Linked DNA regions of Canis lupus familiaris. The protein of the gene in region 7 interacts with the protein of the main gene of each other region in a pairwise test. Links are inferred from orthologs where the notes say so. Each region holds a gene or a part of one and is shown on either strand. Other genes may lie near its edges. The genes, in order: CORO1A, CCHCR1, SPATC1L, FMR1, BRD8, ESD and FSD2.

Region 1 (4,154 bases), on a different chromosome or scaffold from region 7:
ACTGGCCAACTCCTGACATCTCTACCCCCACTTTCTTGCCGATGCCCTGAGGGCTGGCACTCCCACCCCAGCTTCCTTGAACCAGGCTTCCCAGGGGATGATAGGCCAGGGCCCTGGGCAGGGGAGGTTGTATTAAGGGTAGGATTCCCCAGGAAGTGTGGGAATGGGGATGGGTCCTTCCAATAGGATAGGGACTGGGGAAGTCTGTCATAACTGGCCCCAAGCAGGAGCAAAGGTTTGGAAATGGCTGCTTCCGGGGACAGCTGCCGCCACAGGGCTTCCTGTGTGAAGAGCTCACCCAGCTCTCGCCCCACAACCACTTCCTCTTCTCTTGGCTTTCATCAGCCCTTTTAAGGTAACAACTTAGGGCCCATGTCCCCTTCCTGTCTCACCCCTCAAGGCAAAGGAGTGTGCTGGGGGTGGGGGTCAACAGAGCGGAAGGGGGGTTGTGAGCAGCAGAAGCAGAGGGAAGGCAGGTTTGGGGGAGGGGAGAGGGCCTTTCATGTCCTCCCTGCTTGTAGCCCGGGGCCAGAACTGGCTGGAGCTCTGGAGGGTGATGGGGGCTCAGACTGGCCTGGCCCCAAGCCCCTCCCACCCCGTGAGCACCACTGGGTCTGCCCAGACCCCATGGAGCCCAGGCTGTGCTCCAGAGGGGAGAAGTCCCTGGGCTAAGACTTGGGACACCTGGCCCTGGGTCTGCAGGACTCGCTATATGACCTTTCTGGTGTCACCTGAGCTTCAGTTTCCATGCGACCACTGCATGTTGGAGCTGGAGGAGGCTTAAGGCTCATGTGGCCCAGCTCAGTTTTACATATGACAATGCTGCAGCCCCAGAAGGCCTGGTGACAGTCACCTAATCAGGATCAGAGGCCCCTTCAAGTGGAAGACTACTGCCCCAAGGACTCCAGGGGCTCACCTTGCCCAGGGGCAGCACCAGGAAGGCCCCTCCGCCACTGGCCTCGCAGATCAGGGCCATGAACTTGGGGTTGACAGCACAGAAGCCACTGTCCCAGGTGGTCTGTGAGACACGCACATCCTCATAGCACTGGTCAGCCTTGGCTGGTTGTCCAAACACATGGCGGAACTTGCTGGAGCGGACCACCTGCCGGCTCATCCTGGGGGGTAGGGGCACGTGGGCTTGAGGGCCTTTCTCCCTTCAGGTTGACTCTGACCTTAGAGTGTTCCCCATGTCCCCCCAGGACACCCCTCAGCTGGTGTTTAGGGTCTCAGCTAACTTCCCCAGCATCTTCCTGGGCTCCCTGCTCCGTCCTCTGTAACTACCATCCTGTTGCCCTCATGCTCACCTTCCTCACCCCTTGTCACTCCTGGCAAACCTGCAAGGCCTACCTTTTCTGCCCACCCAGGCCTCTGGTCTGTACCCTCAGCCTCTATTCCAGAGCCTGGGGGTGGGGTGGGGGCAGTAGCACCAAGAGCCCATCTGTCGGCTGCTGCCAGACACAGCCCTTTCTCTCCATGGCTCACCCTCCCACCCTCTGGGGGCACAGCCTGGAGGGTAGCTTCACTCCATCACAGCAGCCACAGCTCACATTGCTCACACCCACACAGAGAGCTTCCTGAAGGCAGGGGCAGGGCTGGCCTCCCTCACCTCCTGGCACGGGGCTAGGCATCCAGGGGGAAGCAGCACGTTGACCTGCCCAGGAGGCAGGTCATCAGAGGCAGGGTGGCCTCCCCAGCAGGTGTCTGGGCACCAGAAACAGGCAAATGGCCTGGGTCCCACTCTCTCCTCCCCACACCTCTGCCTCTCGAGTCTGCCTGAGCAGGTGCCCCTAAGTGCCATTTCCACCTGCTCTGGAACTATGCACAGGGAGAGGTGGCACTGATTTCCCTGAGGTCCAGCGGGGCTTCTCCCACCTGGCTGGTCAGAGAGCGACTGAAGAGGATGGTGTTGCCTCTGGCTCCCCAGGCTCCAGGCTCCATCCTGAAGCCCAACTGCATCACCTCCCTGCTCAGCGTGGGCGCCAGGCCTCTACCCCCTCCTCGGTTTCACCCCTTAGACTGCCTTTGGCCCTGGCCCTTCTCGCGGGGCACCCCGCTGCCCTGGTCGGCCCTGGTCGGCCCTGGTCGGCTCCGGGAGGCTCCGGGCCCACCTGCCCAGACAGCAGGTGAGGAGCACGTGTGAGGAGAAGCAGTCCGGGGCCAGAGGGATCAGTCCCGGGTCAGACCCTGGGCCTGGAGCGAGGGTAGCCCCGAAGCCAAGGCTGGGGAACAGGAAGCCATCGCCCCACCCGCCTCCTCCCCCACTGCAGGTACCAGGCCCAGAAACCGCGGAAAGGGGAACTTGGTCTTTTCTTGTTTTGCTCTCAACCCCTTCCTGTCTCGGAGCTCAGGGCAGCCGCTCGGCTCACCCCACCCTGCCCCCCCGCCCCCGCCGCCCGTTCCGGCGCGAGCCAGCCCCCCGCCCCCCACCTCCATCTTGGCTGCGGTGGTCCCTCACCCCGCCTGCTCACGGCGCCCCGGACGCGCAGACGGACCCTCCCGCGCACCCCCTGCCCCCCGGCGAGCCCCCTGCACGCGCGGCGCGCACGGCCCCGTCCCCGGTCCCCGCCGCGCGCTGACAGCCCCGCCGCCCCCGCGGCCGCCTCCCGCCCGGCTCACGCCTGCCCCACAGGTGGCCCAGGGCAGCGATGCCCGGCGCCTCGCCCGGGGACCCGGGCTTACCTGCCGCTGAGAGAGGAGGGACCCCCCGGATAGAGGAGGGAGAGGAGGAGGAGGAAGAGGAGGAGGAAGGCGCTGGCGGAGCCAGAGGCTGCCCGCTGAGGATGCTCTTGTCAAGACAATGAATGAGAAGCGCCGCTGCCCGCCTCCTTAGGGGTGGCAGCGCCCCTTTGGGCGGAGCTCCTGAAGGGCTCCCCGCCCCCCAGCCCGCGGCCGCCCCGCCCTCCGCCGCGCTCCGCCGCGCCTGCCAACTCCCAACCCAAACAGATGCTGCCGGCCACTCGCTGACAATCTAATCGGCACTTTTGTAATGTCAAAATGCAAAAATACCCTGTTCCTTCTTCCCTCCTTCAGTCCGTCCCCAGCCCACTCACCATCCTGTCCCTGGCGTTCGCAGAAGCGCCCATCAGGCCCCCACGCCCACCCCCAGCTAAGGCTGAGCTGCCTTCCTCGCCCCCCCCCCACCACTCCCAGACGAGGAACCGAGAGGAGGGGAGCCCTGGGGTCTCGTCTAGGCTCCTCCGTTTACAAACCGTGGCCTCGGGAGAGTCACTTCTCTGCCATCTCAGGTCTTCACCCTGGAGCACCTCTGCCTCGCCTACCTCACAGGGAACAAATGAATTACTCTGGCATTCTGGAGGCTTCTTCCTGCAGGAGCGGCAGAGGTCAATGAGTCAGGGTCAGGTTCCTGCCCCCAGAGGGCTCTCAGCCTCCCAGAGGGAGAGGAGAGGAGGGCTCCAGGGATGCCAAGCAGAGTAGAAGCCAGACTGCACACTCAAGAGGAAGGAGGAATCCATCGTCGCCCTTGGATTTGGAGAAGGCGTCAGGGAGGTGGCAATGCAGAGGGCAAGAGAGGCATACTCCAGAATCAGGATGCTTGCTGAGTTTGGCTCCTGGTTGTCACACTACTGAGTGACCAGGGCAGGATACTTAACCTCCCTCAGCCTCAGTTTCTCCCTCTGTAAGAGTCCTACCTAACTCGAGAGGTTATAGGGGGAAGCAAAGCTTTATGCACCTCCTCTTGGGTGTAGCAAGTGCTTAATAAATGTTGGCTCTCCCCATGATCACTGGGTATTTGGGCTGACAGCTCCGTATGAGGGGCGCTGGGACAGTGTATCTGTTGGGTGTTGCTGGCCCACCATCTTACCAAACCCTCTTTACTGACGGCCACCTCTGGATTTTCCTTTGGGGGACCAACCTTTCCTCACTGGCAGTCCCTGAAGTTCAAGAGGGGGTCCAGGGTGGGCACAGGGCCACAGTTCCCCAGTCAAGCAATCTTTTTTGATTGGTTTAAGGATGGGCACTTGATTCAAGGCTATGTAATCAGAAGCAGACTGGTTGAAGCTGCAAGAAAAAGCTATAAGACCGGCTATAAGATTGGCTATAAGACTGGCACTAGTAGTGACCATCTGGTCACCATCTAGGAAAAGCTGGCGGCAATCATCAGCCCACACAGCTGCAGAATCGAGATATGAAGA
Region 2 (3,438 bases), on a different chromosome or scaffold from region 7:
CTCATAAATAAAATCTTTAAAAAAAAAGAAGTCAGCCTAATCATGTGGTTGCATCCCTGCTACAAGTACTCCAAGGGCTTTTTACTGACCTGGAATAAAACCCGCACCCCACCAGGTCCCCCTCCATGCTAGCCTGCCATCTGCAGGACTCCAGCCAACGCCGCTGCTTGCTTCCCCACCTCAGGCAGGTCCTCCACACAGCCCCTCCTCAGGGAGGCAGCATCGGGCGGCCCCTCCCTGGTCAGGTTCTATCACCTTGTATGTCTTTTCTCTTCCCAAGGACGCCCGTCCGTTCACTTAGGTACCTGTCCATCATCTGTCTCTACCACCAGGACAGCAGTGCCTCGGCAGCAGGGACCCACTCAGCAAGCCCACCACTATGGCCCCTGAGCGAGGACACTGCCTGACTCTGAGCAAATGAGCGATGTTTTATATTCCTCACTCTGGGCAGTGGTCTTCTTCCAGAAGTAGAGTTTTAAAACAAAAGTTGAGAAAAAGAAAACCTGGGGCTTGCCAGAAACTTCTCAAGCAGCCTGGGGAAGGGGTTTTGAGAAAGGCACTACCTAGAGAAAACAGCTGGGGACCACCTCTCGCATTTTCCGGGTGGATGGAGATGGCTGCAGGGGAATTCCCTCTCAGTCCCAGAGAAAACATGGCACACTGTAATCACCTTTATTGAGCCACAGCATTCAGACATCCTGGTGGCTGGTATCCACGAGGGCAGCTGGCCGGCCCCCCACCCTGAGCCCCCAGAGGCAGAGTCCCCAGCTGTTCACCCTGAGCCCCCAGAGGCAGAGTCCCCAGCTGTTCAGCCACACACTGGAGCAGGACAGTTCGGGTTGCCTCCTTGAGAAATAGCTTCCTCTTTGGAAATGGCCTCACTCAGGCCCTGCAGATCACTGAGCAGGACAGAGAGGGATCCTAGGAAAGAAGACCCCCAGGGATAGCAGCCAGACAGACAAGGCTGTTGCAGCTCCGGTTGCAGAGAACAGGACTGCCATCAGATGGGAGGGTTATGAGGGAGGGTGTTCTCTGGCCCAAGGTGGGCATGGATGAGGGGCTGTGGGCCTCCAAAGGTCATGGAGAAAAATGCTCACACCATTAAGAGCACCTGGAGGAGAGATTCCTTAAGTCCTGTACATCCATCCATCCCTTCCTACCTAGACCATTACCTTTTATGGACTCCCTGGTGGTGGGTGCTGCCAGAGGCACAGCTGCTGAAGACCCTGGGTCCCTGGGGCTGGACTCCACAGACTTTCCCTTATCCAGGAGGGAAGGAAGAACTGCCAATAGTCGCTGCTGCTTGTAACGGGAGAGGAGACCCTCCTGCTGCAAGGTGGCCTGGGAAGGAGAGGGTCAAATGCCACCTAGCCCGGGCAGAGCCACCCCTCCCCAATGAGGCCTCTACTCCCCAGGCAGCTCCAGGGCCCAGTCTCTGACCCCCTACCAGCATAACGTTCTTGTCCCTCTCTAGCTCCTGCAGGCGCTGGGTCAGCCGCAGCCCCTCCTCCTTCCGGGCCTCATCTTGCAGGCGCCTGAGCTCCTGGTTCCGCTCCTTCTCCCAGGTGGCTTTGCGCTGCATCTGGCGCAGGGAGACCACTAGTGGAAGCCAGGGTACAGAGGGCACAGGTGTGGGGCAACCCAGAGGTAGTGAGGCACCATGAGAACAGCTGGAATTGTGGGCAGAACACTGGGGGGCTATGTCTTCTGCATGCTGGGCACAGTGGCTGATGCTCCACAACCCCATCCCTGAACCTTCCTGGACTCATTTAGGGAGAATCTGAATGTGTACTGAATATTCAATTTGGTGCAATCAATGTCTTCTTAATGTGTGCCAATGACACTGAGGTTAGGGACGCCTGGGTGGCTCAGCTGTTGAGTGCCTGCCTTTGGCTCAGGGCATGATCCTGGGGTCCCAGGATCAAGTCCCATATCCGGCTCCCTGCAGGAAGCCTGCTTCTCCCTCTGCCTGTGTCTCTGCTTCTCTATGTCCCTCATAAATAAATAAAATCTTTAAAAAAAATCTTTAACAAAAAATAGATGAATAGCTGTTGCATCTAGTTAGAGGAAGTACACAAGTGGGCACTGCATGAGTCTTGTAATTTGGCTAGGTATTTGAACTTTTCCCTACTATGACATTGAGGGGAAGCCTCTGGCTGGGTCAGTCGGTAGAGTACATGATTCTTGATCTTAGGTAAGTTTGAACCCCATGCTGGTTGTAAAGATTACTCAAAAACAAAATCTTTTAAAAAAAAAGTTGGGAGACGGACACGTGCAGCACAGAACATCATGTAAAGATGGACACACAAAAGAATGATGTGCCAACAAACCAGGGATGCCACTGATTGCCAGCAACCATGAGAATGCAGGAGAGAATCATAAAATAGACTCTCAGAACCTCTAGTAGGCACCAACCCTGGCCAGCATCTTGACTTCAGACTTCTAGCTTCCAGTACTGTAAGAGAACAATTTTCTATTGCTTTAAGGCAAAAAAAAAAAAAGAAAGAAAAAGAAAAAAGAAAAAAGAAAAAAGAAAAAAGAAAAAGAAAAAGAAAAAGAAAAAGAAAAAAGTTGGGGGTAATGGTTGGTGTGAGGTTGGGATGGCCGTGGCCTTGTGGAGGGGGGTGGCTGGGCAGGGCTCAGGGGGCACTAGGGCTGGCCACCTGCTGGTGCTCCTATGTGTGCTGGCTGAAGGAGTGTGTTCACCGCCTCAGAATGTATTTGTGCCATTTCTTGGTAACTTCATTATTTGCATACTTCAAAAACAGCTTTAAGATCCTTGGACACCTGGGTGACTCAGCAGTTGGGCACCTGCCTTTGGCTCAGGGCGTGATCCCAGGATCCGGAATTGAGTCCCACATCAGGCTCCCAGTGGGGAGCCTGCTTCTCTCTCTGCCTGTCTCTCATGAACAAATAAATAAATCTTAAAAAAACAAAACAAAAAACCCTTATGTCCAACACTGCCTTCTCCCCGGACGACCACAGCCACCCAAGCAAATCTCACCTGCCTTGCCATGCTCCCTCCGAGCCTCATTCAGTCTCCTCTCTGTTTCTAAGAGCTGTTCCCGCAGCCTGGTTTCCACTTCAGCCACCTTCTCTTGCAGAGCTGGGGGGGGGGGGGGGGGGGGGGCGGGGGTGCAGATGGGATGTGTCAGAGGAAGCTTTGCTTCTCCGTTCCTCACAGCCCTCCGTGGTAAACAGACTCCGCATCCTGCACACCTTGCCCATAGAGCTCCTGCTGCTGGGTCAGTTCCTGCCGGAGATTGGCAGCCTCCTCTGTGCTCTCCTGCTGGCCCTGGCGAGCAGCCTCCAGCTGCAGCCCCACACTAGCCAGGGACTCCTGGGTGCGTTGCAGCTCCTGCTCTAGCTGCTGGGCGACCTCACTCAGCTGCTGCCGCTCCGCCTCCCCTGGGAAGAGATGGCACTCAAAGGTCTCTC
Region 3 (4,457 bases), on a different chromosome or scaffold from region 7:
GAGCCCCCCAGAGCCCCAGGGAGCCGCCGCTCAGCCTCCTGACGCCCGTGCGTCCTCGCTCGTTCACAGGGACGCCAACGCTTTTAAATGTTACGTGGCCGCGGCCGTCCTGCGGGGGCCTCCCTCTGCCACATACCTCGGGGTGGCAGCATGAACCTCGGGGACACGCCGTTGAGTCATCGGGTAGCTTACCGGATACATTTACCCGCTTCCCGGCGCGTGTGTGCACACGCACGTACAGGCACACACACATGCACGCACACGGCGAGTCTCACATCCACTGCGCTGCTGAGCCTCGGGGAGGAGTCCCGGTTCCCTCGTCCAGACACCGCGCCGTGCTCCCCGCGCTCCCCGGGCCCAGGTGTGCGCCGTCGGGCCTCCTCGTGCTCCCCCTCAGCAGCCGCCCCGCCCCCGACCCTGGTGACCGTGTCCTGTGCTCACCCCCCTCGGGTTTCATTCTCTGGACTATCTCTGCCTTTTCTCTACTCGGTTTTTTGGGGGGACCGTGGGGGGTGATTCATGTTTCACATCCTTGAAGCAGCTCCTTCTGTCCCCCTCGTCAACGCCTCCTTCCAGGGCGCTAGGGTTAGTGACTGTCACGCAGAAGGTATGACCCGCGGTCACCTTCAAAGTACTGATTCTTCTTGTGATTCACAAGACCCCTTTCTAGCCTCATACGGTGAACTGGTTCTCCCTCCCACCAGAGAGGCAAACACATTCTTGAGAAACCGTGTTTTTTCCGAGCTATAATGAAAAATTGCAGGGGTGGCGGCTGGCTCGGTGGGAGGAGCTGCCCCTCGATGTTGGGGGCTGTGAGTTCAAGCCCAAAGCTGGATGGAGACATTCCTTAAATAAATAAAACCCTAAAAGAAAAAGAAACATCATATCCTAAAATGTACCTCCTCGGGAGCCAACTAATCGACCTTCGGAGATGTTTTCCCAGAAAAAAAAAAAACAAAACTTCAAAAGAAGAACAGCCCCCTGGAGGTGTCTTGCCTCGCGTCCCGACCCGCAGCGGCCGGAGCAGCCGGGACTGTCCCGCCGCCGCCTCAGGACTCCCTGAGCACGGGCTGCCCAGAGCTGAGGGGCAGAGCCGAGGGGGGCCCCCCCTGCACCCACGGGGCCTCGGTGGGCTCAGCCGGCTCGGGCTCTCTGTTCCTATTCGCTGAGCCCCGATTCCCTCCTGTGACTCCAGCACAGGTGTGTGAACATTAAAACAAAACAAAACAAAAAAAACAAACAGCACCCGCTATCTTCGATCCTCAGTCCAGTCCAAGAAGCAGGCACTGTGCAGACCTCGGCCCCCGCTGACGATCGATGGGAAGAGATCATGTCGCATCGTCGCAGAAACCCCGCGGGGAGCCCGGAGCCCAGACCCGCGAGGGGGGCCCTGAGCCGCGCCCGCTCCTCGGCCTCCCTCCCCCCGCAGAAGCTCCGGAAGGGCCCCTCCGGGTTCTGGGCCCGAGGGCGGGATGAGTGGGGGCCCACGACACACGAGCCCTGTGGCCTGCAGCCTGGGGACCCCGCGGAGCGCGGTGTGGCCCGGGGGTCGCGAAGGTGTCCGGGGGGAGGGCGGGGGCCGCGGGGGGCGGTAGAGGCCACAGCCTGGTGGCGCCCCTCCAACAGCTCCGTGTGAACCGGCGGGAGCGACCCCGGCCAGCCCCCAGCCCCCACGAGCGCGGACGTACCGTCCACGGGCTTCGGAGAGGAACCGGGTGGGTGAGCAGCGGCTGCCCCGGGGGGGGGGGCCTTGCGGGTGCGGCCCTCGGGCGAGGGGGCGCTCGGCCACCGGCGCGTGCTGTCCAGTGAAGGACACGGGCTCGAAAGTGCATCCTGCTTAGAGGGCGGCGCTGAGGGGCAGTAGGAACCGTGGGCCTTGGGGCGCAGAGCCTGGGGGGCCTGAGGCGCGTCCGGAGCCCCGGGCATGGGGGCGCTGACCAGAGCTGAGCTCCCCCCAGGGTGGCCGCCGCCCCGCTGACCTGGGCCCCGGCCCTGCAGCAGGGCCTCCCCGCCTCCCCGGCCAGGGCCTGCTGTCCTGCAGGGTCGGGGCCCAGGGCGTGAGCACGGGGGGCGCCGCCGTCCCAGGGACCCCGCCCTGACCGGGTCCCCCCGCAAGTGCCCGTCACTGGGGACCCGCGGGTGCAGGATGGAGGGACGGCGGGGCGGGCCCAGGACCACAGCTGACACGGGGGGGCTCTGAGCCCTGGGGGGGCCCCCGCCGGACCCATCTCCTGGGACCGGGCCGTCCTGGGGCCCGAGGGGGCGCCCTGACCCGCTGTGGGGTGTCCCAGGGCACGAGGCCCCGTGGCCCGGGCGGTCCCTGTGGCAGGCGTGAGCGTGGCCGCTGCGGGAGCTCAGGCTGGCGGGCTGGGGTGTGTCCAGCTGACCTCGTGGGCGACAGCGCCTCCTCCCCCAGCCCCCGCACCCCCGCCCGGGCCTGTCCTGAGACCCCCGGGCCGCAGGGGGGTCCCAGCCAGGAAGGCGCCGAGACCACCCAGTAGGCGGCCTGAGGGCGGCGCCACCCCATGTCGTCCGTGGGGCCCGCGGGCCGGGAGGGAGGCCTCGGCCGAGGACACGGCAGAGGGGGTCCCGGCCCCGCTTTCCCGGGGAGGCCTCGGGCATCAGCGCCCCCGCGGCTCACCTGCGCTCCCGGGGGAGCAGTCCTCGGGGTACGTGGGCGCCCGGGGGAACAGCAGGTCCCGGCTCCCGAGGCCACCGCGCTCCTGGCAGCTCTCGCTGAGCAGACGCTTCAGCATCTGGTTCTCCTTCATGAGGCGCACCTGCTTCTTGAGCTCCGCGTTCTCGCTCATGAGCCTGCTCATCAGCTCGCTCCCCTCGGCCATGGCCGTGGCGCGGGGGCTCACGGGCGGGCCTGCGGCCCCATGGAGGTGGCAGCCCAGAGCCCGCAGACGCTCGGGCACAGCCCAGGCCCCGGAGCCCCACAGCCGCCCGGCCTTCCGCAGCCTTGTGATGTCACCCTTAAAGAGCCGGCACCCTGGTCACCCCGTCACCCCCGTCACCCCAGTCACCCTGCGGCGCCGGGCCTGCCCACTGCAGCCGCTGGCCCGAGCGACACCTCCCACCGGGGCCCAGGCCGCGGAGGGCACGGGGTGGGGCCGGGGGGCCGGGGGCCGGACAGAGGGCAGCCAGCCCACATTGGAATGTTCTGGATCCCAGGAACTGCCGAGATTATGGGCCAAGGATGGCGCCGGGTCGTGCGGCGTGCGCAGGCCTCCGGGGACTCCGGTGGCTGTCCCCCCCCGCGGGGTCAGCGGGGTCCCCAGGACCTGGGCCCAGGTCAGGCGTGCACCCCGGGGACGCACCCTTGAGGCAGGAGGGCGGCGGGGGGGGGGGGGCAGAGGGAGTCGGCGCAGCTCCGGGCCGGCCCTGCAGGCGCTCTGGGCAGGGGCACCGCCGACCCCGCTGTCCCCGAACTCGGCTCCTGCGTGTCCGGAACCCTGACCCACGGGACCTGACCGAGGACCCCGACAGGCACAGGGCCGTGGACTGGGGGCTCCGTCCTGGGCACGGGCGGCCTGGACCCCACGACCCCAGCCCACCTGCTGCCCCGGGGCCCTGCAGGGCGGCGACCTCCCCACTGTCTGGCCCTGGCCCCTGGGCGAGCTGCTCACGCCTCGAGGACATGTGGATGCGGCCACGGGGGGCAGCCGGGTGCACTGGGGCGGCAGCCACGGGGGTGCAGGGGTGCGGGCGGGGGTGCGGGTGCAGGTGTGTGCAGACGAGCACGTGTGTGGGCCAGGGCCCAGGTGAGGCTGACCCCCGGTCGCCCCCGGGTGACCTGGCTGCGGGGCACCCGGCATCCTGTCCTCGGCCTCACCCGACCAGACCCCGGGCTTGTGGACGCTCTGGAGCACCAGCCTCCAGGGTCACCTTCCCACTGTGCTTCCTGCCGCCCGGGCTGGACTTTTGTCGGCATCTCCGTCCTCCTACTCGGGTTCTAGGTTCTGGAAGTGGGCGCCTAGGCCACCAGCTCGAGGCCTTACTGCGGCATCAACACGGAAGCCCGTGGCCGCCCCGCAAGCTCTTACCTCATTGTTTTTTCTTTCAGCTTCAAAGAGTTTTCTTCCCCTGTACTTTCCTTTGGGCCATTGGTATTTAGACACATATTGTTTAATTTCCAAATATGTGGGATTTCCTATCTCTTAGTTACTGAATTCTGATTTAATTCCATTACGCTTAGAGAATCCACCGGATGACTTCAACCCCGTGGGATGGCTCTTGACTCGCCCCGCATGGCGTGTCAGTGAATGGTCCAGAAGCTCTTGAAAAGGAGGAGGTGAAGCGTCCCGTAAATGCCCATGACTTCAAATTGGCTCCACGTTCTGTCCACACTTGCTGAGACAATGTTGAAATCCATTAAATTGTATATTTATCAAATTCCCTCTCCGGCTACATTATGTTTTCTATATTCTGAAGCTCTGCTATTAGGCGCATAT
Region 4 (4,295 bases), on a different chromosome or scaffold from region 7:
GGGGCGGTTCACCCAACCTCCACCAATTCTCTCTGGTCACATTCCAGCTGGAGTCACTTCCCAGTTCTGACCACCCCTGTCCCACCCCAGACTGGGTCCTGGCCACTATCATAGGTGTATCTAATTCTTCACAGCCCTTATCGCAGTTGCAACTCCACATTTACTTTTCTGATAATTTATGTCCATCTATGCCTCTACGTTCCTAGGTGAAATGCTGGCAACTTTTCTCTTTTTATTTCTCGCTAGCACTTAGCACAGTGCCTGGCATATAGCAGAGGCTCAATAAACGCCTCCTGTATCCTACGGAGTACAGGCCTTCCAAAGGAAACCTAGGTCAACGTGGATGCAAGCTCGGTGCAGAAACAGGAATAAGAAAGAGCTGAGGTTTGTTGTACTGTGGGGGGGTAAAGAGGGAGCGCTGCACCGAAAACAGGCGCACTGGCCCCTGCAGAGAGGTCACCTGACTGCTGTACACATGCGCACACTCCACCCTCCTATTCAGGGTGGGCATACAGTAGGGGCCAAACAGTAGGAAAATAAATTGTAAAGAAATTTAACGAGTGTTTTAAGACATTTTTTTTTTTTAAGTCAAGTATGGAACTGAGCCGAGGGAAGTACACGGGTCAGTGCTGGGTCTGAGGGCGGCCTGACATTTCCAGAGGTCCTGACGCAGTCCGCTGCCCTCAGAGGGCACAGGATGTAGCCACAGGACAGCCCAAAAGCTCTTGCGGAGGGAGCGGCGTTACTCTCACCTGCTGCCTCTAAGGGTCACACAAGGCTGGGTCACCGTGGAGGCCACTGTTACTAGTTCAAAGTCGTCTTCAGTGTGATTCTTCACCTGTAGTCTTGTCCCCTCCTCCACCCCCAGCTCAATGAGCCTCTGCCCCACTTAAACGAACCCTCCAACCCAAGGCAGCCCAGACTCGGATACGTGCATACACGTGACGCTACGCGAGCACCGTTCCCACGCCTCTGCTTGACCTTCTACAGGCAAAGGCGCTCTGGCCCTCGCCGGGCGACGCCAAGCGACGCCAAGCGCCGCCGCCTCGGCCAGCGGCGCAACCTGTCACCGCCCTTCCCGCCTTCCCGCCCTCCACCGAGCCCGCGCACGCCGAGCCCGCGCGCCTTACGTTGGGCCCGGCCCCCAGCCGGTGCCTCAGCTGCACGCATGCGCGCGCTCCTGGGCCCGCGGGGAGAAAGAGGGCGGGACCGTGGGGCCAAGCCCGCGGGGGGAGGGGCGGTGTCGGTCACGTGACGCGGTTTCACTGTTTACACGCGGAGCGGTCGGAGCTTTCGGCCTCAGTCAGGCGCTCGGCACCGTTTCGGTTTCACTTCCGGTGAGGGGCCGCCTCGGAGCGGGCGGTGAGCCGACGGCGAGCGCGGGTGGCGGCGGTGACGGCGGCGCCGCTGCCGGGGGGCGTGCGAGAGCGCGGCGGCGGCGGCGGCGGCGGCGGCGGCGGCGGCGGCTGGGCCTCCTGCGCCCGCAGCCCACCTCTCGGGGGCGGGCTCCCGGCGCGAGCAGGGCTTTCGAGAAGATGGAGGAGCTGGTGGTGGAAGTGCGGGGCTCCAATGGCGCTTTCTACAAGGTACTTGGCTCCAGGGCAGGCCCCATCTTCGCCCTCCTTTCCCTCCCTTTTCTTCTCGGCCTCGGCGGGAGGCAGGCCTGGGGCCCTCTTCCCGAGCGCCGCTCCCGGGGGCCAGGGAGCACTCGTTGGGATGTTGTTTGGGAGAGAAGGACTGGACTTCGGGCCTGTAGGAAGCCCCTCGAGCCCCGCTGCCTCTCCTGCGAGAGGCCCCGGTGCCTGTGGGAATGAGAGCGGGCAAGGAGAGGAAGGTGTCCTCTCGGGAGCCGACGGAGAGCCGGGGATGGCCAAGGGCCGGCAGCAGGTACAGGATCCTGGCGGGAAGGGCCGGTATCCGCGCGAACTGCCGGCGACGGCTGATTTCCCTTTCCTAAATATCCTCTCCCAGTGGGATCCGGGCCTGACGTGTGGGTAGTTGCTGAGTAGCGGGGGGCGCTTCCGTCGAGCCGCCTCCTGCCTTGCAAAGAGGTTTTGAGATCTCCTTTGGCTTCTCTTTTCCGGTCCAGCATTGGGACTTCGGAGAGCTCCACTGTTCAGGGCAAGGGGTGTGGAGAAAGAGTAGTAAGAAGCTGTAGTCCGTACCGACTCACAATGGCAACTGATTTTTGGTGGCCTCTCTTTGTGGATTTCAGAAGAGATTGTAGATCCAAAAGTTTCAGGAAGACCCTGACATAACCGAGTAATGCATTAGAGAAGCTCGTAATCTTAAATATTCGCGTTCCCTCTCCCTTGTTATAAATGCGGCCAAATCCAGGAATTCAGATGCTTCAGCATCTAAAAGCATTATAGCAACTCTGCTGCTTAAGGAAAAAAATTTTTAACCCTCCAAAGGCCTTGAATGTATGCCACGAAACTTCAGGCAATTAACTGAGAGTGCATTATTACTAGAGAATTTTAAATCGTGAGTAGAGATAATTGTGTTGTGCTCCAAGTACTTGACTGTCTTCTCTGAATGTGTAATGTTGCAGTCGACGGTATTCAGGTTTTAAATAGACATGCATAGTATTACTGTGGATTTTTCTTTTTTTACGTTACACCACTGCAGATCAACTAATAGCTTAGATTTTCAAAAGGAGGTTTAGAAATATGTTGATGTATCGGTTGTGCATCTGTTGATACATACTTAGTCTAGATCTCATAATTTATAGACTCTTGTTTTCTCTTGAATGTTTCTCTGTAACTTCTGTAGGTAATATCCCACCTTAGTACAGTATTTTGGCAGTAAAAGGTACATATGGGAAGAAGCATGGAAATTAGCTATTGTTGTCCAACACAATTCTTAAATTTATTATGGCATGACTTACACGTTTCAAACCAGACCTGTTTGCAATGGGAAAATTAACAATTGACTTCATGTTTACCAGTTCTGTGGAGATATTTGGAGATCAGCATATTTCATAAGTGGGTAAACTATGTAAACTGTTCATACTTTGAGCCAAAAGATAAAACCTGTAGCTGTAAAAGGAAGAAACCCAGCGTTTATGTTAACATTCTCACCAATATAAAATTGTCTCAGTTGACTCCACAGTCAAAATTTTGGTTGTATTTATTTCAGTGGTCCATAGTGATTCCTGCTAGTTAGTGTGGAATCATCTGGTTCCTAGATTGGTAGTTTTGCTCACTAGATTTGTGGTACTAGCTATAATAAATATAAGTAGGGGTTAATGATTGAGCAGTATTCTAATAGGCCTGTACTATTTGGTAAGATTGGACACCACTGTTAACGTCTTCCAGTGAAGTTTGCCTGCTACAGGAGGGGCTACTAAGTAGCACATCGTGGTGTTGAAGGACATATTGTTCTCTTCCAGCAGCAACGAATGATTTGCTCTGGTGATTTTTCTTGCAAAGTGATTGGAATATAATAAGAATCCTATATCTTTCCTATTAATCCCCCATTTTAATTGTCTTTAACAAATTTGCTTAATTTGAAGATGAATAACAAAAATGGATAGTCCCTTAGTTCCTTGAGGAGAAATGTGAAACTTGGTCAAATATGTGTAGAGAAATTGCTATTACATTTACTTAAAGTTTATTTTTCAGAAAACTTCGAATGGTCTGTATTGGTAGAAAAAGGTTCAAGTTTTTATAGGACTCATTGTTCTGAGTTACAAAAGTAAAGCAAAAAGTTAACCGAGTTGCTTATCCAGTGGGATGGGCAAAAAATATGGGAAATGAAGACCAATAAAAAATGAACTACTGTGGAGAAATGTTAGATTCATGAAAAAATAGGGACCTGTTCATCAAATTGATAGAAAAGCCTTTAAAAAACTGAACAACTCAGATGACTTCAGTATTAGTGAATTCGACTTTGATTTGCCTAACAGAACCACCATATTGCAAGGAATGATTCCCCATCTTCTGAGCACATGGTCCAAGTTTACAGTATAAACTGGATAAAGTATACTTGGGCATATGTGGATTCTTTCTTTGCAAAATAACTAAAGCTCAGGATTCAGAATTAACAGAACCATAAAACCTAAACCCTAAGATTGGACAGCTCATTTTTATTTTTCCTTCTGTTTATTCTTAAACACTTGAAAGTTAGATTTAGTAGTTGTCAGAGCCACTACTTTTGTGCTTAGGTATTACTTTGACTTAGAAAGTTAGTCTGTACACCTTAACCTCTTCTGTTACTTAAGACATGAAGTCCCTTGGATAAACCTCACAAAATCTTTACGAAGTGTTTCCTAAATGCATAATGTTGAAATAAGG
Region 5 (3,691 bases), on a different chromosome or scaffold from region 7:
CTTTGCTGAATAGTTACCTTGTCCTCAATAATGGCAATGATGTCGCCAACAGTCTCAAAGTCAAGCTCTTCACCTGTGTAAGACACAGCAATATCCATCTTCTCAGCCAGATCTAAATCTTCCTTCCCATCTATGCTGGGAGCCTTTGACCCCCCAGGGGCCTCTGCTACCCCTGATCGGAAACACTCTTCTTTGATAGAATTGATGATCATGGAGATTTCGCTGCTATCCATGGAAACAGTCACAGTATGTGGATCCCCCACAGCCTCCATGGGGACACAAGTGTCAGGCTGACTCACTGAGTAACAGGAAGAGAAAAGCATTTCATTTGATACCAAGTGACAACCTGGAGATCAACCAAAGCTATAGACAGGTATCAAGTACCCACACACTTAAGCTCAGAAAAAGTTTCTCTTAGATCTACATCTTCATATGTTCTCTTGTCCCCGGTTTTATCTAGAAAGTAGGGTGAGAACACTTTCTCAAGCCCATTCATATGTATACTTAGTCCTTTCCCCTCAACATGTAAATGCCCACCCACATCTTCTCATTCTTGTTTTTCTAAGGATAAAGATGGTACATGTCCATGGAGAACAGAAGCATCTGAATTGGAATCGATCCTCTTGGGTCAGCTTTCTCTAACTGAAGCTCAAGATGAAATTTTGGACCTAGTGGCTGCTCAGGGCGTGGGTCAGGGACGCACCTGGAGCTACACTCTCAGGAGTGGAGACAGCCGGAGCAGAGGATGGTGTTGGCAGCGCAGGCATCATGACAATGGTAGCCTGGGACACAGACTCTACAGGGGGTGGCACAAGTTTAACTGGAGGTTCACTGGCAACAGTAGTGAAGGAAGCAAGAGGAGTGGTGAACTGTGTAGGACCAGCTTCTAAAAGCCGGGAAAGAGTGGGAGCACCTAACAAAGAGGTACACAAAATAAGGTAAGAGGAAAGCACGTGAACAAGAAGCAATCGCCACTTTAAGACTCAACCAAGAAAATTTTCAGTCTCAAAGAATGAAAGGAACTCCTCTGTTGAATTAAGCTCATTATCTATATCCTTTCTTTTTCCAATCTTACTAATAAAGATCTTCTTCCAAGTTAGGAATGACCCAAAAGCACTAGACACACAATGCATGTGAAAAACGGGTGGTAATTTTTCCCCAGAAGAAAATTAATTAGTATCAACAAAGCCATGAAAAACCAGTATGAACAAATCTGTCGCTTCTGCAGTTAAGCATGCTATAAACCATCCAAATTCAACACCATTCAAATATCCATATCTAAAGTTTGATATTTTATAAAACTTTTTTTTTTTTTGCTTTACTTTTTCTATCTCACTTAATCATCATGACATCCTTGTGAGGTACACATACTGCAATTAATCAAAGAGCACATTGATGTTCAGGAGTTAAATCACCTATCCAAGGCCACAGAATCAGTATGTGGCAGGCCTGACATTCCAAATCCCAATTCTCCTGTACTTTAACCTCAGGTAGTCTTTAGCACCTTTCCATAATTTTGCAAGCCCCAGAAAAGCAGCTTCACTAGTAACTTCACAATTTTTCTCATTGATATCTATGCTGTGGTCATTCTGGGGTATCAGTATTTTGAAGACAGAATAGATTTACAATCTGAGGCACTATGTGGTTTAACAGGTTAAGTAGCTCCAAAAAAAGTTAGGCTTCACATCTACAATTGACAGTTGCTTACTTCGAAGGCTAGAAACCAAAGACAGTCAATACTATGATCAACATCTGTGAAGTAAAGTAAGTAATGGAAAAATGCTGACTTACCTGAGGCAGCAGGGGAGGCCGCAACAGTGTTGGGTGTCTGCTGCATTTCCCCACCATGTATCATGGGAAGAACCCCGCCTACCTCCAGGAGGACACCTGTACTGTTCAAGTGGCCAGAAGCCACAGCCATTTCACTCTCATTGACCTACCAGGGAAGAACAGAGATGAAGGCTACACTCAAGCTTTCCTTTACTACCACTTCCCAAAAAAGTTCCAGCAGATGATCAAACTTCATGAAGTTAATAACCAAAGAGAATAATTTCAGACCCAAGGGAAGCTCTAATTTTTAACACTTATTTGACAAGAGTTCTCTGGAGAAGAGAACCAAAGTAATTGTGGTTTCAGATAACTCAGGACCCAAGGATACTATCAACTTACTGGTTTTTTGTCTCTGGTTTTGTTTTTTTAATTAACATTTAATTAGGAGATCTCTTTCTCTTTTGAACTTTTTTTTTTTTTCCATGTCATATTTTAGGTCCCAGGCACTCCCTTCCAAAGTACTAAATCACCACAGCTCTCAAACACCCACAGAAGTCTCCATACCAGTCTGGGGCTAGTAGGCAGGAGGCTGCCCTTCTTCAAGAGCTCTGACAGCAGAGGGGAGGGGGGTGGAGTTGCTTTCTGTCCAAGCATCTTTTTCTGGGGTGAATCATCTGTTACTGGGGTCATGGGGGCTTCTAAGGGTGCAGAGCCTGGAGGAAGGGTGTCAGGAATCCCAGGAAACGAGGTGACTGGGGTACTCGGCAAAGTCCCAGGGGTTACCTAAGAGACAACAGAGAACCTTTATCTGACTTCTCAAACTATGGAAGGTTCCCTACTAATCTGGATGGGTTAGTGTGTCTAACTATTACTTTATTAGTCCTGAGTGAAATTGCCCAGAAACCCTCTATACCTCCTGCTCTCAGCCATTCCTTTCTTCCTGTTTTATCTCTTCCACCCACTCAAACCCACAATGACCCAAAAATTCCACCCAACCTGCCTTTCACAAACTGCTTAACCACTGCCAATATTCTATTTACAAGAAAACTATCCCTTATTTCTACAGGAATTTTATTAAGACTAGTTTACTTACAAACAATTCCTTAATATTTTACCTATCTCCCAAAAGGTCAAAAGGCTCAATGTTTTTAGGTCCATTCTTATCTTAGAGCACAGAACATGGTAAGTTAAAGTCTTTAGCATTCAGACCAAGAGAGGAAATTGCCTCTCGGCCAAAAGAGGGTTCCTCATCACTCAGCTCTCTGCTGGCTTATTGCCCCTTTGCTGATCAATTCCTACAGATGAAAATATACTCACTCCAGAGGTGGCCTCTTCCATAGTGGTTGCAGTCAAGTCTCCGAGTGGATAATCACCTCCTGGGGAGGCAGAATCTATAGGAGAGCGGACCATCACAGTGGGTAATCTCCGAGGGGGTGTTTTTACTGCTTGACGAGCTAGAATGTAAGAGACAACAATTACTAAATCTTTAAGATTAAATACATGAAATGACTCTACTGTCTTATTATATAATAAAGGGCATATGGAGATGTTGCATAAAGCAGTAACAGGAGTTAGGATTAGAAATCTTTAATACTTCTGGAAGACCAGAAAACTGTTTAGACTTGTTTTTCCTAAACAGAATTCTCACATAAGCAAACTCACTGAACTGTCTCAAAGGTCCTTGGAGTAGGAAAGTGATTTAAACATTCCTCAATATCTTCTTCAACTAATAATTAATATTCTGTTTTTAACACGAGGGAACGACTTCACTGGCTCAAAGGATGTATTCCTAAACTTACAAATGTTTAAGTTCTTATCCAATAAATGGACTATTTTCTTAATCTTCTTACAGGGCTTTGAATTCTAAAAACTTAATTATATTTAACATCTATATTATAAAGCCTTTGCATCCTAAAAGGAC
Region 6 (3,691 bases), on a different chromosome or scaffold from region 7:
ATATGAAAATCCAAAGCAAACATCACACTGAGTGGGGAGATACAAAAGTTCTTCCTCTACGATCAGGAACAAGACAAGGTGCCCACTGTTGAAACTTCCTGTTCCACACAGTACTGGAAATCCTAGCCAGAGCAATTACACAAGAAAAAGACATAGAAGGCATACAATTTGGAAAAACAGAGATAAAATGATCTCTGTTCGTAGATATGATCTTGTATGTAGGAAACCCTAAAGATTCCAAAGTAATAAAATACAAAAGCAATACCCCAAAATCAGCTGCATTTCTATCTAAAAGAAAATTATGAAAACAACTATATGATTCCACTTATAGGAGACACTGAAAGAAGTCAGATATATAGAGAAAGTGGAATGATGGATGCCAAAGGTTGGAGGGAGTAAGGAGGAATTCAGTGTTTATGGGTATAAAGTTTCAGTTTTACAAAATAAGAGTTATGAAGATGGACGGTGGTGACGGCTGAACAACATTATGAACATACTTAATAGCACAGATGTGTTTGTTTAGTTAAGATGGAGGGGCACCTGGGTGGCTCAGGTAAGCGGCCAACGCTGATTTCTGCTCAGGTCATGATCTCAAGGTCCTGGGATGGACCCTGCTGGGCTCTGTGCTCAGAGGGGAGTCTGAGGATCCTCTCTGCCCCTCTCCCTTTGGCCCTCCCTGTGCTTATGCTTTCGCCTCATCTGTCCTTCTCTCAAGTAAATAAAGATTTACTTTAAAAAAAAAGGGTTAGATGGTAAATTTTATATATGATATTTTTACACAATAAAAAAATTATGAAAAACCTTAAAAACAAACAAAACCCCCAGATGGACAGGATAGGAATGGTCACTCATTTGACTACATAAGGATAAAATGAGCTAATGTTGTGAAAAGCTTTTGTAAACTGAAATGTACACGTTATACACTGATCTACATTTACTTGGACATTTATCATCATTATTATACATTTTAGATCAACGTGCCTGACATATGACCCTGGAATGTGAATAAAAATGTTTTAAAAAATCACAATCATTTGTAATTTAGTGTTCACTTTTCATCCTGAAATATTTTGTTGTTTAAATTACATACCAAAGCTTATGAATAAGCAATTTAAAAAAAAAGCTGAATTTCTTTTGTTGTTGTTGTTGTTGTTGTTGTTGTTGTTTTCCGAGTTTCTTTAATTATAACTATATTAGCACTGAGCTAGGTGAGTAGGGGACAGTCAAGTCTTTTAGTCAAGGAATAGCTGCAAATCAATTGAAAGTGAGTAATTATTTTTAAATTAAAAAAAAAAAATACCACAAAGCACAATGGCTAGACTAGCAGCTAACTCAAAAAGTATCAAGTGCCTATGTTTGTGTGAGACAAACAGTTCACAGCTTCTGAGGCTAAGATGTATACATAAAGTGAAGAGTGATTACGGTGGGAGGTTATACTTGTTATTTACGCGAAAACAGCTGTATGTGCAAAGACAGACACAGCAGAAATGCAGCAGATAAAGCACTATTCAAGCATGAAGCTTCTTGTTATTCAGTGGTTCTGCAGTGACACAGAAAATTACAAATACTTCTCACTTCTGAAAGCTTTCTTCTTTCTATGGAATTTGATCTTAGACATCATTACCTTAGTAAGAAGGCTTTCACTTTAAGTGTCTTGTTATAATTAAAAAAAAAAAAAAAAACCTTACTAGAGGTAGCTTTTCAAATTCTGAAATATAAGGTATTATGGAATCTTGTCTTTTTTTTTAAAGACTATTTATTTAGAGAGCAAGGGAGCGAGCGGGGAAAGGAGCACAGGGAGAGGGAGCATCTCAAGCAGACTCCGAGCTAAGCACGAGCCAGACTCAGGGCTCCATCCCATGACCCTGAGATCACCACCTGAGCTGAAATCCAGAGTCGAATGCTTAACCGACTGAGCCACCCAGGCGCCCCTGGAATTTTGCTTTTTTATAGTTACTTAGAACAAGCAGAGGTTTCCGAGTACTTGCCTCTTGTAATCTAAAAACAACAGGGACTTTCTTTTCTGTACAGGCAGCTATGAAGTTATCAGGTAGTAATTGTCCGTCTGAAAGGAACTGGTCATCTTTCCCTTGATCAATTAGTATGTCCAGCTGAGAACCGGGGTAGGACTTCACAAGATGGGTAGCATCATAAGCCTAGAAAAAGACAAATACTGACAAATAAATTTGAAAGTGCCCAGAAAGATGTTCTTCAAAATAGACCACAGCAGAACCAAATAGAAATTTAACGTCATTTAAGCTCTAAGGACGATTAAATCAGAAAAATGCTTTTTTTACATTGTCTTGTCTGGCTTTTACTTGTAAGGGCTTCAGAGATCGATGTCCCATTTATAGCTGCTTCTCTACTTCCCAGCAGTCCTGGGCCAGTGGCGAGAATTTTGTATCTTAGAATTCTTCACAGTTTGGACCCTTTTCTTTTAAACCTCTGAGCTTTTTAATTACCTCTCAACTCCAAAAAACAAAAACAAAATGGTATTTTTTTCTTTATAAATTCCTCCAGAAACTTTCTTTCTTACCTTTTTCTTTTTCTAGATATTATTTATTTCAAATAAATAGTCTATTTTGTTGTCTCTTCTTTTTGGCTCTAATTCTGAACTTAAATACATTCAGCCTTTTCTTTTATTCAGCACCAATGTTTGCTATCCCCCTAGGAGCTTTGGGGAAGATTTAATTTAAATAATCTGAATCATATAGACAACTCCTCCAATTTATTATCTAAGGAGCTGCCACCAGTTACAAGTTTGTACTTTATCATCCAACTTTAAGTACTCTTATTTTTATATATTCACTAGTCACAACTTCTATGCGCAATCAAGACAAAACCCTGTTTTTTAAGACTTGCTTTAATTTTATGAGAGAGTGGAAGGAGATCTATAAAGTCCAACTAGTTCAAAGTTCTGTGATTCCATAATTCTGTGTGGCTTCCTTATTCTGAAATTAAGTAATAGTCTAAAACAATATACTTAAGATGGTAAAATCTACGGTCACCGAGAGAAAAATTATATAATTAGATTCCTTTATAGGTTACCTGTGCCTCTGCCTCTCCCTTCCTTTTTTTTTTCTCTCCCATCCTATCAACCAGTTTGTCTTCTTCTTTCTTTTTTAAGATATATTTATTATTTGAGGTAGAGAGAGGGAGAGCAAACAGAGAGACAGAGAGAATTCCAAGCAGAACTCCCAGCTGAGTGGGAAGCCGGACTCAGGGCTCGATCCCACCACCCATGAGACTATGACCTGAGCTGAAATCACAAGTTGGACGCTTAACTGACTGAGCCACCCATGTGCCCCACCAGCTGGTCTTTTACCCAACACTTCTATTCAGAACCTAAGCCCCATATGGATATGAAACATTATCACCTTTGTGGCCTAAGATCTTGAACTCCACATAGGCTCTGCACAGTGGCAAGGACTCCAGACACCAAAGTACATGCACTGTCAGCTCTCAAAGCACCTAAAAGTCATCACTTTCTGCATTCTTCCAATATAATAAAAATATAAGCCTCAACAAAACAGAATTCTAATCCAGTAACTAAAGGATTAACCCTCCACAGTTTGTTAGAATTTCAATAACCAATCTTAAATAAAATTGGGAACCATGTGTGAATGACCCTGAACACACGACAGTAAGACAAAAGTTTTTTTCTTCCCCCACTCAAGTATTTTCTACTTGT
Region 7 (4,441 bases):
ATTACCATGAGCTCTAGCAATCCCACTTCTGGGTATACATCCAAAGGAAATAGGACCAGGATCTCAAACCAGAGACCAGGAGCTCATCCTTGACATCACCCAGGTAACCAATACCCAATTAATGCTGATTCTGGTTCTATCAATTCAATCTCTAGGGAACACCCTCACCCCACCCTTAACCCCTCTCTAAGGCCACTGCCCTCTGGATTCAGAAAGCTCTGTGCTTGTTTTCTGTCTCTGCTACTTCTTATCGTGGTAGCGTTGGGAAAGTCACCTCTCAGGGTCTTACTGTCATGAGCCCATGAAATGGGCCTATTGTGCTTCCTGCCTCCTAAAGATAGCATTAAAAAAAAAAGATTTTATTTATTTATCCATGAGAACACAGAGAAAGAGGCAGAGACATAGGCAGAGAGAGAAGCAGGCTCCTTGCAGGGAGCCTGATGCAGGACTCGATCACAGGACCCGGGGATGATGACCTGAGCTGAAGGCAGGTGCTCAACCGCTGAGCCACCCAGGTGCACCCTAAAGATAGCATTTAGATGAAATAACATGATGTGTGTAAAATGCTTTGCCTAGCCCAGGGCTCAAAGTCAGTGCTCAGTACGTGTCAGTTGCTGTTATTAATGTGGGGGTGGCTGTTAGTATCATTATGTGGACCCTGGCCTCTCCCACAGGGCACCCACGAAAGGAGAGGATGGGGGTCAGAAAGTGAAGACTCACAGTAGCCATGGCAGAGTGGAGGCCCTGCAGCCGCTGTGGGATCATTCCATCCCCTGAAAACAACCAAAGATGGGAGAAGGCACCAGAGTAGAAGAGCCTCATCTCCAGGCACAAACATCCACTGTGAGGTCGCTGGTCCTCACAACATGAGCTTCCAAGGGGCCTATGCTGAGGTATAGACCCTCTAGGGGTAGAAGTTCCCTTGGAGAGCATCTAATTCAACTTTCTGATTTTAGGATGGCAAAACTGAGTTTCTGTGAGGAGAAAGGACTTGCCAGGCCCAATTTCATTTAACAAGGGGTGACCCAGGGCTACTCTGTGTCCGGCCCTGTGCTGTATGCTGGACACATAATCCAGCAGGTAAAGAGATGGATCCAGACTCAGTTTTCCACTACACCATATTGCCTACAGACCCTGGAGCAGCCTGCTAAAACTAACACATTTCTGTGTGCCACCAAAAGGGAGAAAACCAGAATTCTGTATTACCAATAAATCATGCTGACAAATTCTTTCAACCGGAAACTGAAGGGTGAAAAACCAAATTGAACTGTCCTACAAGCAAGAAGACTGGAAAACATTGAGAACAAATCTAATGGGAACAAACTCTTTTGTGCCAGCCTTTCCCCTTTGGACAGACAAACAAACTGGTCTGGGCACCCGGCACCCAAGCAGGAGGTTTGCAACACACCTCCACAGCTGCCATGCACTTTCCTCCTCAACGCTCAGACTCTTTTAGTGTCTTACCAAAATATTCAGAATCTAGGGAGAAGGAACATTACCAATAAATTGTCATTTCATAAGTGATGAAACTGAACCTCAGAGAAATAAATAGGTCACAGCCTATAAAGAATAGAGTAGCTAGACAGCTTCTACTCTAGGCCATGGGGCTGCAGTTACAAAGAAAACAGACTTTTGCTGTCTATGTGGGAGGTATACCCCAGTGCATTAATTAGAAAAGTCCCCCACAAAAAAAAAGAAAGAAAAAAGGAAAAGTCCCTCACAAAAATGATTTTTAACCTTCTATAGGGCACGAGAGTTTCTGGGAATCTACTGAAAGGTGTTAATTCTCTCCCCAAAAGTGAGCCCATGAGGGCACAAACGTAATTTTGCCTATAGTTTCAGAAGCTCACCTGTGTAGCTCTTAGAAATTCCCAAGCTGCAGCTGAAGAAACTTTGCTTTAAAGTGTTGGCTGTGCAGTTACGCAAAATAGCTCAAATCAACTTTTACAGACACGGTCCAAACCTGGAAACTTTCCATGGGAGGAGGGGTATGTATAACAGGTGAAAAATGATCATAGTCCTGTCTTCCCGTATGTCAATCAAAACATGAAATTCTGATTTCTTGGGATGCCCACACAGATTAAAACAAGATGTATTTATCAATTGGTCACTGGAGCCAGAGGATAACACTATTTAGGGTTCCAAACTGTTCTAGCAAATGGGCCCCCGCACTAAAAATACTCTATGGGTACATTTTAAGAACGGCCAGCCTCTATCTGTTTAGGGGCTTCCACACCCTGTACCAACACTACGTTGTATTAGCAAGGCAAATCCATGCTACTGGAAGGCACAGAAGACATTCACAGTTTAAGATTCTGCAGTTTAAGATGATACCTCTCTCCCTAAAGGAACGATTTTGCATTAACATTGTGGCATCAAGTTACGGGGTTTCTAATAAAATACCCTTTGCATTAGAAGACTATGATTATCCAAAAACTTGCCTGCTTATTTAAGGGTCCACAGGGTCTCCTTTTACCTCCAAGGTCTCTGGATGATGGCTGGAAAACTGAGGATCTCCCTCTGGGTTACCTGTGCGCCCCAGAGGGCTGCCTCCGACTGTCTCACAGCAGGACTCTGCAGCTGGGGTGCAGAGGTGATGGTAACATGAGCTGGCTTCCTGCTGCAAATAGCAACAGGCCTGCCATGAGTGAAAGCCCAAATATAGACCTGCCTAGGCTCTCTTGCCACTTCTTGCTGCTCAAGTGTCACCGGGAGAGGTCACATGCTGTCCTCTGAGTTTCTTCATATACTGGGAGGATTTGAGGCCTAGAGACCCACTGAGCTACTCCAATGGCTGGTCATGTTTAGAGGGCTGGAGGCTGCCACAGCAGGGTCAGGAGGGTAGCTGCAGGGCATGTGGAGAGGGAGGGCATCTGAGGGCCCTTGTGTGGTGCATCTTCCACCTGACGCTCTATTCCAAGAGCGTTTTGAACAAGCACAACTCTGAAGGCAATCAGATGCAACTTAATATTTTTTTCTTCCACCATTCCTTTAACATTTACTCACAGTGGGAATTATTTCCCTCAGTGGATAAAAAAGTCCAGCAGATCCATGACTTTCTGATCCCTCTTAGGTGACATTCAGTCCAAGGGTGAAGGCATAGTCTGCATTCAGCAACTGAATGTATAGTGCAGAATATTAATGTAAAAGTCAGACTTTGCTTAGCCAGTATCAAAATCTTCTCCCCTACCCGGTCTGGGCCTCTTTAGCTGGAAGTCTGCCCTCAGAAAGGAGGAAAGAGATCGGCCTCTTCTCCCCACACCTCCTTATTGAGCTGCTGGTGGAACGCCAGGGCAGGAGGCGCCAAGGTGATAAGATGGCTCCTATTGGAGTTAATGCCACAATGGGTGCTATCTTCCGGCTCTCTGGGCTGGCAGGTGCTTAGAGCTCTCTATTGTGCACTTGTGTGTGTGTCTACACTCTCCCTCCCTCTCTCATGGAGAGTTTTTTACATCTCTGGAGTTTTCCATTATGGAGACTTTCCCCCCAGGTTTCCATAACCAGGCTGAGAACGCTTCTCTTCCAGGGGGTCCCTTGCATTCTCCTTATAGGCTCTGGTGGGCCACCTCCAGGATCTCTCAAATGAGGTCTCCTTACCCATGCAGTTGGCTCTCTTGGGCAGGATATGATGATTCCTTGCTGACTCTGTCTTCTTCCTGGCTTACAACTGGATTGTAGGAGGCAGGCCCATCCTTGGTCCCTGCAAACTCTGGAATGCTGCCAGAACCAATGCAGCCACCTCCCCTGGGTCTGCCATCAAAGCAGCCAATCTGCTCACCTCAGGCCACCTGCAGGAGATACAGCAAACTCTCTGAAGGGTCCCTTTGAAGATCCTTCATTGGGCTTGGGCCTAGAGGACAGGACTTCCAACCTTCCCTCCATCCCACTAACAGCATTCTCTGGAGAAATGGCTCCACCAATTTTCCCCCTGAAAGCATGAATTGGGTTCTGGACCATTTCCTTGAAAAGTCTCCTTATGGTGATTTGATCTCAGAATTTTGCATCTGCTGCTTTTTAAATCTCAATCAAAATGTAATTTGAAAAATATCATTACTGCCAGGTATCTAGAATATTAGAAGCAAAATAAAATATCAGAACAAAAAAAATGAAAGACAAAATTTACGCAAAGATATATATGTACAAGGATGTTCACCACAGCATTATGCATATTGGCAAAAAGCTGAAATTAATCTATGACTATCAATATAGAATTTGTAAACCACAATACACTCAATATTGGCAAGTATTAAAAACAATCATGTAAATACCTATTTTTTATGTGGAAAATATCCACAATATAGCTGTAAGTAAAAAGAGAGTATAAAATACAATTACAGCATAATCATATATATATTATATAGATGATATATAATATATAGCATAATATATAAATATATAATAATATATGATAATACATATAATAATAAACACAAAATGAGAG

What was found.
Region 1: the proteins of FSD2 (region 7) and CORO1A interact in binary tests that used the Homo sapiens proteins (3 or more experiments, as listed by UniProt). The two-hybrid records come from large-scale screens. The link is inferred for Canis lupus familiaris from reciprocal best matches to the Homo sapiens genes FSD2 and CORO1A.
Region 2: the proteins of FSD2 (region 7) and CCHCR1 interact in binary tests that used the Homo sapiens proteins (3 or more experiments, as listed by UniProt). The link is inferred for Canis lupus familiaris from reciprocal best matches to the Homo sapiens genes FSD2 and CCHCR1.
Region 3: the proteins of FSD2 (region 7) and SPATC1L interact in binary tests that used the Homo sapiens proteins (3 or more experiments, as listed by UniProt). The two-hybrid records come from large-scale screens. The link is inferred for Canis lupus familiaris from reciprocal best matches to the Homo sapiens genes FSD2 and SPATC1L.
Region 4: the proteins of FSD2 (region 7) and FMR1 interact in binary tests that used the Homo sapiens proteins (3 or more experiments, as listed by UniProt). The link is inferred for Canis lupus familiaris from reciprocal best matches to the Homo sapiens genes FSD2 and FMR1.
Region 5: the proteins of FSD2 (region 7) and BRD8 interact in binary tests that used the Homo sapiens proteins (3 or more experiments, as listed by UniProt). The two-hybrid records come from large-scale screens. The link is inferred for Canis lupus familiaris from reciprocal best matches to the Homo sapiens genes FSD2 and BRD8.
Region 6: the proteins of FSD2 (region 7) and ESD interact in binary tests that used the Homo sapiens proteins (3 or more experiments, as listed by UniProt). The two-hybrid records come from large-scale screens. The link is inferred for Canis lupus familiaris from reciprocal best matches to the Homo sapiens genes FSD2 and ESD.

What each region holds. Positions count from the first base shown.
Region 1 is NC_049227.1:18,327,055-18,331,208, reverse strand, and holds the start of CORO1A (coronin-1A), read right to left. Parts: upstream 2,839-4,154; 5' UTR 2,680-2,838; intron 1,116-2,679; 5' UTR 1,115-1,115; coding exon 917-1,114; intron 1-916. UniProt on the Homo sapiens protein: May be a crucial component of the cytoskeleton of highly motile cells, functioning both in the invagination of large pieces of plasma membrane, as well as in forming protrusions of the plasma membrane involved in cell locomotion.
Region 2 is NC_049233.1:980,867-984,304, forward strand, and holds the end of CCHCR1 (coiled-coil alpha-helical rod protein 1), read right to left. Parts: intron 3,409-3,438; coding exon 3,220-3,408; intron 3,107-3,219; coding exon 3,005-3,106; intron 2,999-3,004; exon of another isoform or gene 2,664-2,998; intron 2,456-2,663; exon of another isoform or gene 2,251-2,455; intron 1,600-2,250; coding exon 1,448-1,599; intron 1,342-1,447; coding exon 1,173-1,341; intron 922-1,172; coding exon 809-921; 3' UTR 657-808; downstream 1-656. UniProt on the Homo sapiens protein: May be a regulator of keratinocyte proliferation or differentiation.
Region 3 is NC_049252.1:39,453,748-39,458,204, forward strand, and holds the start of SPATC1L (speriolin-like protein), read right to left. Parts: upstream 2,968-4,457; 5' UTR 2,844-2,967; coding exon 2,642-2,843; intron 1-2,641.
Region 4 is NC_049260.1:117,357,597-117,361,891, forward strand, and holds the start of FMR1 (synaptic functional regulator FMR1), read left to right. Parts: upstream 1-1,453; 5' UTR 1,454-1,535; coding exon 1,536-1,586; intron 1,587-4,295.
Region 5 is NC_049232.1:25,859,324-25,863,014, forward strand, and holds part of BRD8 (bromodomain-containing protein 8), read right to left. Parts: intron 3,225-3,691; coding exon 3,088-3,224; intron 2,554-3,087; coding exon 2,335-2,553; intron 1,937-2,334; coding exon 1,792-1,936; intron 914-1,791; coding exon 704-913; intron 299-703; coding exon 18-298; intron 1-17. UniProt on the Homo sapiens protein: May act as a coactivator during transcriptional activation by hormone-activated nuclear receptors (NR). Isoform 2 stimulates transcriptional activation by AR/DHTR, ESR1/NR3A1, RXRA/NR2B1 and THRB/ERBA2.
Region 6 is NC_049243.1:4,524,667-4,528,357, reverse strand, and holds part of ESD (S-formylglutathione hydrolase), read right to left. Parts: intron 2,157-3,691; coding exon 1,989-2,156; intron 1-1,988.
Region 7 is NC_049224.1:55,110,067-55,114,507, forward strand, and holds the start of FSD2 (fibronectin type III and SPRY domain-containing protein 2), read right to left. Parts: upstream 2,963-4,441; 5' UTR 2,477-2,962; exon of another isoform or gene 2,442-2,476; intron 1-2,441.